2 linked regions of the Oryctolagus cuniculus genome follow. The protein of the gene in region 1 purifies or fractionates together with the protein of each later gene. This does not show direct contact. Links are inferred from orthologs where the notes say so. Each region holds a gene or a part of one and is shown in the gene's direction. Other genes may lie near its edges. The genes, in order: TAF5L and ATXN7L3.

The links.
Region 2: the proteins of TAF5L (region 1) and ATXN7L3 purify together in Homo sapiens (affinity purification with mass spectrometry; 7 studies listed by BioGRID and IntAct, counting the BioPlex papers as one, with this or other methods). This does not show direct contact. The link is inferred for Oryctolagus cuniculus from reciprocal best matches to the Homo sapiens genes TAF5L and ATXN7L3.

What each region holds. Positions count from the first base shown.
Region 1 is NC_091444.1:49,353,120-49,356,920, reverse strand, and holds part of TAF5L (TAF5-like RNA polymerase II p300/CBP-associated factor-associated factor 65 kDa subunit 5L), read left to right. Parts: intron 1-3,348; coding exon 3,349-3,453; intron 3,454-3,801. UniProt on the Homo sapiens protein: Functions as a component of the PCAF complex. The PCAF complex is capable of efficiently acetylating histones in a nucleosomal context. The PCAF complex could be considered as the human version of the yeast SAGA complex.
Region 2 is NC_091448.1:19,059,455-19,063,719, forward strand, and holds the start of ATXN7L3 (ataxin-7-like protein 3), read left to right. Parts: upstream 1-1,305; 5' UTR 1,306-1,446; intron 1,447-1,571; exon of another isoform or gene 1,572-2,148; intron 2,149-2,258; exon of another isoform or gene 2,259-2,399; intron 2,400-2,814; 5' UTR 2,815-2,874; coding exon 2,875-2,925; intron 2,926-3,206; coding exon 3,207-3,339; intron 3,340-3,517; coding exon 3,518-3,689; intron 3,690-3,841; coding exon 3,842-3,939; intron 3,940-4,111; coding exon 4,112-4,134; intron 4,135-4,265. UniProt on the Homo sapiens protein: Component of the transcription regulatory histone acetylation (HAT) complex SAGA, a multiprotein complex that activates transcription by remodeling chromatin and mediating histone acetylation and deubiquitination.

The sequences.
Region 1 (3,801 bases):
TCTGTGCTCGCTGCCACATCTGCAGGCCTCTGGGGGCTCCCCTGCCAAAGCCCTGTTTCCTGTTCACAGTGTCTAGCTCACGTTATCTGTACCTGATGGCATGTGCTACTCTTTGTTTCTGTGAAGTCTTGTCCTGTGAGACCCTTACATCCCTTCTCACACAGGTACCCCTTTAGTTTGGACCCTCTCACACAGAAGTCACATTTGTTGGGTAAATGAGTACTTTGGGATCAGTAGTTGGAAATGCTGATACTGTAGATGTAGTCTAAGGCTTTTAAAACTTGTTTTGTGACTCGAATCTATGAGAAGGTCTCCAGAAAGTTCCTGGAAAACGTGTATTCTGAAAAAGTCTGTATGGATTTAAAATTTTTGGCACCAAAATAAACTTATCTTTTAATTCTGTTTTTCCATGAGCTTTTTGAACTACCCTCTTATTTGAGAAAAACTTGTCTTGACTCTATCTGGAATAAAATGTAATTGTTGTATAGCTATTTTGTGAGGTCAGCTTTTTGATGATATGATTTTCTTACATGGAATTTGTATACAGTACTGGAGATTGTGGGAAAACATCACGGTGTTGCTTTGGGATGTGAACTACTGTAATCGCTCTGTGGCAGTGGTGCTGGAGCTGGCTCATTCCCATCTTAATACGCTCAGCCTGGGTCCTTTTCTCCTCCTTGTTCCTGGCCTTCCTCTATTCTTCTTGTATCTGTCACCAACTTTTCCATGCCTTAATGGTTTCGGGGTCCACATTGGTCACAGCGTTACCACAGCTCCCTCGTTTCATACCACTGTCAAAGTCAAGGGCCCAGCCTTTTATGCTCAAAGGTTTATTGCCTTTGCTATAGCAGAAGAGCAGCAGAACAGTACAGACCTGAAGATGTCCTCAAGAAGAGGTTCCTGACTCCCTCTGTAGTTTTTTGGACTGTGGGAGCAGTAATTGTGTGCTGTGGTTGATAGAAAGTAGGAATGACCACTGGTAAAGGGTCTTTACTCTTCTTGGTCATCCTCATTTAGATACAGTGGTTTATGAGACAAGTCTGTATTGCTCCTGGAGGACTGTCGGAAAAGTGAGAAACATGGGATCTGGTTGTCATAAGTAATTCTGTCTTCATTCAGACGTTCATTGACTATCATCTAGACCAAGTGCTGGGAAATTCTAGAGACAGCTATTTGCTCCTGTCTCCTGAGAAGCTAAATTTTCTAATCAGGAAGTGAGGCAGGTACATCAGTGGCTATAGGAGAGTGTGATGTAGTAAGCTCTGTGAAGATGGGGTGCTTTGGGTTCAGAAGGCACAGAGAACATGATTGTGGCATTATATAGACAGGTCAAAGGAGGGCTTCCCCAGAGGTCTCCTGGCTCTTGGCAGTTGGACAGAGGGCAGTAAGCAATAGAAGGATTGAGCTGGTTTTCAAAGAACCATTCAGAATATACAAGCAAGTTGAGGAAGGCATCTAAGTTATTGAATCTAAATTTTAGTAAAGTTAGTCTGATGGCAGTATTGATTGAGGAGGGAGTCAGGGACTCTACAACAGTTAGAAGTGAGAGCAGCCCAAGGTAAGAAAGTGGTAATGGGAATGCAGAGGAGAGAGTAGATTGTCGGACCCTCTGGGACTTAGTGACTGATTAGATAAAGGTGGGGGCACTATGAAGGTGAGGGAGGAGTCCCGCTCTCCCACACGAGCTATCTAGCAGATCCTCCTGCTTCCAGCTGCTGAGTTCTGGTAGGGTCTTCCGACTTTCTTCTCATCTGTATCTCCCTTCTTGTGCCTTCTATCTGCTGCTTCACTTTCCAAATGCCTGCAACAGCCAGGGTTAGGCCAGGCCGTAGCCAGTAGTCTAGACTCCATCCAGGTCTCTCACACGGGTGGGTGGCAAGAATCCAAGCACTTGAGCCATCATCTGCTGCCTCCCAGGATATATTAATAGGAAGCTGGGCCAGAAGTGGAAGAACTGAGACTGAAACTGGCACTGGAATATGGGACGTGGGTGCCTCAAGTAGAGGCTTAACCCATGGTACTACAATGTCTACCCCAAGGAGTTTTCTTTTGAGAAAGCATAGACTTCATAGAATGGGATTAAGTCCATGTTTACATATTTAATATAGAGACTCCAGCCTGCTTCCCCTCTTTAGCTGCCTTGAATGATATAGCCAGGCACATCTACAAGGAAAAGATTGTCCCATGGTGAGTCTGACCTACCCACCATAAAAGAGTGAAAGACATTGATTTGGGCACATGACATCTCCAGTGTGGCCTGGAAGATGAGTGACACCAACTGCAGAATATTCATCAGCGCTGGAACCATGAGACTGCTAGAAGAAATGTGTCCCATATGAGAGACCAATGAAAAGAAACAGAAGAAAACTTTAACCACCGTAATAGCTTTGGAACAAGAAAATAATGCTTTTAGAGGAAGAAAAAACTTTCAAAGAACAAAAAAAAAAAACACAAGTGGAGTTGAAAGTTGAGGAAACTTCCCAGAAAGTAGAGCCAAAAGGCAAAAATATGGACTATGGGAGAGAAAATTCATGGGTTAATTTAGGATATCCAGCCTTGAAATAGGTGTCTTGGGGCTGTGGTGTAGCAGGTTAAAGCCCCAGCCTGCAGTGCCAGTATCCCATATGGGTACCAGTTTGAATACCAGCTGTTCTACTTCTGATCCAGCTCCCTGCTAATGCTCCTGGGAAAGCAGTGGAGGATTGGCCTCCTGCATCCATGTGGGAGACCCAGAAGAAGCTCCTGGCTCCTGGCTTCTGGCTGGCTCAGCTCTGTCTGTTGCTGCCATTTGGGGAGTGAACCAGCAGCTGGAAGACCTCTATCTCTCTGTCTCTGCCTCTCTCTGTAACTGTACCTTTCAAATAAATAAAATATATCTTAAGAAAAAAAACTCAGGTGTCTTAGCAGATAGGAGAGAATTTCAAAATGATTGAAGAAAATGGAGTCATTGTTGGAACTGGGAAGCATGCATTTCCAGATTGAAAGGGCCCACTAGGTAATACAGCCTGTATTTGACAGTGGCTCCACACCAAGGCATGTTATTATTAAGTGTCAGAACTTGGGTCACACACTTCCAGCTACAGCTCAGCTTTTCCTCTCTCACTTGACTTACTTATCCTATACTTTATAAACAGTTTCATTTCTCATTTGGTTAGGTGTCATGAGGGAGGGGGGGTAAACAGGTGTCATCAATGTCACATTTAACCACAACCCTCAAGATACCTTGCAAATGTGATGAAATGGCAGTTGCTATTAATGTATGCCCAGTACCCTCCTCCACCTGTCATGCCACATAATGGGTTAATAATTGTCTTTTTATCCTTGTCGTGTATCTCTTTTCCTCTTTAGTTCAATCCGAATCTGGTTGTGCCAATATAGTGTCTGCAACCCCTTGCCAGGCAGAACCCCAGCAATATGAAGTACAGTTTGGGCGACTGAGGAATTTTCTCACTGGTAAGTACTCAGCACCAGGAACTCTATTCTTAGAGTGCTGCAGTTTCCCTCTGGACCCTACTACGTGCCAGGCGTTATACTTGGTAGTAGAGATCACAGGTACTTCAGCACTGTCCTCGCATGGTCTCCAAAACTTTCGGCCTGTTGAAAGTCTGGAGAAAGTGAAATTGTAAGGTTAAAGTTAACAAGGGTGAGGATTCTGGCTGTTTTATCTGTGGCCCTCAGTACAGTGACTTGTGACTTATGTTAAATAAACAAAAGCTAAACCAGCTAATCATGATTCTTTGCCTGGTGGGATCACCCAAACCTGTATTGGTACTGCTACCTGGCTGTGGTTTTTCGTTGACT
Region 2 (4,265 bases), on another chromosome or scaffold:
GGGAGAGGGCTGCCACACCACCATGCCAGGAGGCGCGCACTGCGGCTGCGGAAAGGGGGCTCGGAGTGTGCGCACAGGGACACCCCCAAGGGAGCGGCACTGGGTCCCGGATAGAGTCCGGCCAGTGCCAGGCAAGCTGTCCGAGAGGTAGGGGGTCCAGCGTGGGTTCCGGAAGCAGGAAAGGCGAGCAGGTGTGGGATCTAAATTAGGATGAGGGTGGGGAGAGCGCTCCGCTCAGCAGGGCGCAGCTCGGCTTCCGCCCTCAGCCGTGGACCCTCATCCCGGGCGGCTCCCGGTTCACAGAACCGGAGCGGGCTGCGACCCGCCCAGACACCAGAGAGACGGAGGCGCGGCCGAGCCCCCCGCGGCTCCATGGGTCTTCCACCCTGAGAGCCTGCCGGCGCCCCGCTTCAAGTCCGTCCTCGTCACAGAAGTGGCTGCCCGCCTCAGCGTGAAGGTGGGGAGCAGGGGTGTGCGGGGCGGAGAGGTGGGGGCGGAGAGCCCCGAGGGAAGGGCGGGGGAGCCTGGGCCGGAAGGCGTCCCAGGCTCGGCTGGGAGCCGGCGCTCTCTTTCGACGCCACCCGCTGCCCCCGCCCCCGAGCCGGCCGGGACGGCACAGCGTCTCCGCCCCCAGCGCACCGCGCACCTCACCTTGAACGCTGCTCCACCCACTCCCAGCCTATTGGGCCTCCCGGGCGGAGGCGGCCCGGCGATTGGCCAGGGTGGCCCAGGGAGGCCCCGCCTCTCTCCCCGCCCCCGTTCCCGTCCGCCGGTACTTTGGACGGCGGCGTGGCGCCCCTCCTCCCCTCCCGGTCCCCGCCCCCTGGAGCAAATGCTGCCGAGCTGCGGCCGCGGGGCAGATGCACGCGCTCGGGCCCTTCTAGCAGGCGCGAGCAGGCGCTGGGCGCGCGAAAGCGAAAGAAGGAAGAGGAAGGGAGGGCGAGGGCGGGGTGTTGAGGAGGGGCGGGAGGAGGAAGAGGAGGAGGTTGGAGCGCGCTCGCGCTTGGCCTCGCGCCCGCGCGGAGGGAGGGGGAGAGGGGCGCGCGCGCGCACTCTCGCGTTCTCGCTCGCTCCATCCATCCATCCTCCGGTCGCGGCACGCGCGCGCGCTCCGGGCTCGCGCCGCACCCCCCGCCCGGGAGAGGCGGGCTGGAGTGGGGGGCGGGGGGAGGGGCGCGCGGACGGCGCGCGGACTGCGCGCGGGCGGGGTGAGGTGAGGAGGAGGAGGCGGCGACGGGACGAGAAGGGAGGGGAAGGGGCCATGGCCGCCCGGTGAGGCGGCGAGGCGGGGGGGCGCCCCGACCCCCCGGCCCCGGGCCCTGGGCCCCGGGGAGAGGCGAGGACGGACCGACGGACATGGGGCTCCGGAGCAGCCGCCGCCGCCGCCGCCGCCGGAGGACGCGGCCCTGAGAGGCCGCCGGGCCCCGGCGCGGCCCCCCGGGCGGGGTGAGTACGGGACGGAGACGGGAACGGGGGAGGGGCCTGCGGGGGGCGGGGGGCGGGGCCCGAGGCGGGGCTTGGGCCCCCTCCCCCCAGGTCTGGGTCAGCGCCCCTTCCCCTCCCCCCGGGCCGACGCGGAAACGCCCGGCTTCCCCCGGCTTCCCGGCCCGGCCGGGGCCCCCTGCTCTTCCCCCTGTCTGGGTACCCCCCTTGGGCGGGGCAGGGCCGGCCGGGGAGGGGGCGCGGGGCCTTTGTTAGGGAGCCAGGCCCCAGCCCCCGGGACAATAGAGACACCCTCCCGGACTCCTGTGCCCGGTCGGGCCGGGCCGCCGGCAGGCTGGGAAAGAGAGGGGCCGGGACGCGTCCCACTCTGCCCACTCTCTGGGGGTCGGTCCGGCCCGGCCCGGCGCCGGCCTCGGGCGGCTCGGCTCTCCTCCCCCCAGTCGGTATGATGCAGCAGTGCCGCAGGGACGGGGGAAGAGCCGAGGCCGGGCCTCCTACCCTGCCCAGTGCCCCTGGCTCGTTTGTCAGTCCCCACCCCACTGTGGGCCGGCAGCCCCTTAAACTCGTACCCACCGTTCGGAGGGGCCCCGGACTGTGGGCGCTGTTTCTGAATCCTTTGGTGGGGGCTGCTGGACTTTGGGGCTCTTGGAGAGACTTCCGGGCAGGTCCTGAGGGAGGGAGGGTGGCTCTCGGAAAGAAGAACAGGTAAGGGGAGTGCCCTGCTCCTGGCGTGGCGTGGCGTGGCGTGGCGTGCCACCCCACCGCGCGCTGTCCCCTCCGCCGGCGGCGGGCCTGCGGTGCCCTTTAGCGCCGGGCTGCGGCGGGCTCTGCCCCTCTCTGGAGCGGCCGGCTGATTTCAAGGGAAGACCGAGTGGGGTGAAGGTGGTAGGGTCCTAGGGCCATTGCCACTTCTGGTAGCAGTACCCCCCCAAGTGGACATCCTGGCCGAAGCAGAGGTGACTCCGAGGAGAGCCTTTAGGGGAGGGGGGGTGTACTTAGGAGTCTGTGCAGTTCTTTGCCACACCCTGTGGGTTCGCTTTGAGGCCTGAGTTCCTTCTCCTCCCCCTGCTGCATTGCACCATGGGTACCCGAGAGGGGTTTGAGTTTTGGGGACCTGGGGTGAGCAGCTGCCTGTTGTAGACCCAGGCTGAGATTGGCAGTGGCGTGCAGGGCCCGGGCTCAGGCCTGGGGAGGACTAGGCCACCTCGGCTTCAGGCCGGCCAGAGCGGCCGCACTCAGTGAGCCTGGGCCTTGGGGGAGAGAGAGGCCCTGCTTCCAGGATCCCACTCTGGGCAGCGAGGTGGGACGGGAGGTGGCAGTCTCCAGGGGTGCCTTAGATTCACACGGACACCCCCACCCCCATGTGTGCAGCCGTGTTGCCGCCCGCTGTGCTATGAGCAGTCAGAGCGCCGTCTCCACAAGAGTTTACAAATGAAAATGGAGGACATGTCTTTGTCTGGCCTGGATAACAGCAAACTAGAGGTGAGGGCTCCCCCACGTGCGCCTCTGGTTCTCGCTCTCGGCGTCTCCACGTCGCAATACCTGGCATCCCCACCAAAGAGGAATCTGGGTAGTCAGCCTCGCTCCTTAAAGGGAACGGCCAGCTGCGGAGGCCCGAGGACCCAGGAAGCAGAACGAACGCGAAGCCACGATGGGGACAGTGGCAGAGAGCGCATGCTGTGTGGCCGGGGCTGCGTGGCAGGCGCCGTGGTTGGCGAGAGTCGCGCCTCTCGTGACCCTGGGTGTTCTCCCCTGGGGCCCAGGCCATCGCTCAGGAGCTATACGCGGACCTGGTCGAGGATTCTTGCTTGGGATTCTGCTTCGAGGTGCACCGGGCTGTCAAGTGCGGCTACTTCTTCCTGGACGACACGGACCCCGATAGCATGAAGGATTTTGGTGAGCTTCAGGGCGGAAGGAGGACAGCGTGTCCCCTGCCCTGGCAGCCGCCCTAGCTGAAGAGCCCGGAGCTCCTGTGAGCTCAGACAGGGCTTTGAAGAGGCCTCGGGACCAGGGGTGGGGGCAAGAGGCGAGGGCGCCCTGCCCGCCCTGACCGCCACACCTCTCCTGTCCCCAGAGATCGTGGACCAGCCGGGGTTGGACATCTTTGGACAGGTTTTCAACCAGTGGAAGAGCAAGGAGTGTGTTTGCCCCAATTGCAGCCGCAGCATAGCTGCCTCCCGCTTTGCTCCCCATCTGGAGAAGTGCCTAGGAATGGGTCGGAACAGCAGCCGAATCGCCAACCGCCGGTGAGGGCCTTCCCCCTGCTGGAACCCGGCCTGCGCTGTGCTGTGTCCGCAGGGTGGGCCGTCCCTGGCCCCCAGTGCTCCTCTGTAGTTCTGGAGGTGTGGATGGGAAGGGGCAGCGGCCTTGACCCTCCCCTGTCTCCTCCCCTTGGCAGGATTGCCAATAGCAACAACATGAACAAGTCTGAGAGTGACCAAGAGGATAACGATGACATCAACGACAATGACTGGTCCTATGGCTCGGAGAAAAAAGGTGTTTGGGGGACAAGGGGATGCGATGGGCCGGTGGGGTGGGTGGAGGGTACGCAGTGGTCATGAGCTGTCCTGAGTGATGGGGGCCGTGTGTCGCTTTACGCTCTTTCCTGGCTGCCCTCAGATTGAGAACACGAAGTAACCCTGCTCTGTGGTTTTTTTGCCCCTCACAGCCAAGAAGAGAAAATCAGACAAGGTGAGAGCGGGGCAAGCACGGGGAGTGTGGGCCCAGGACAGCTCCCCTCCCCCGGGGCAGGGCGTCCTGCCCTCTGTCTGAGGTCACGGGGCCTCTGGGTCTGGGGATGAGGGTGTCTGGTGGGCAGGGGG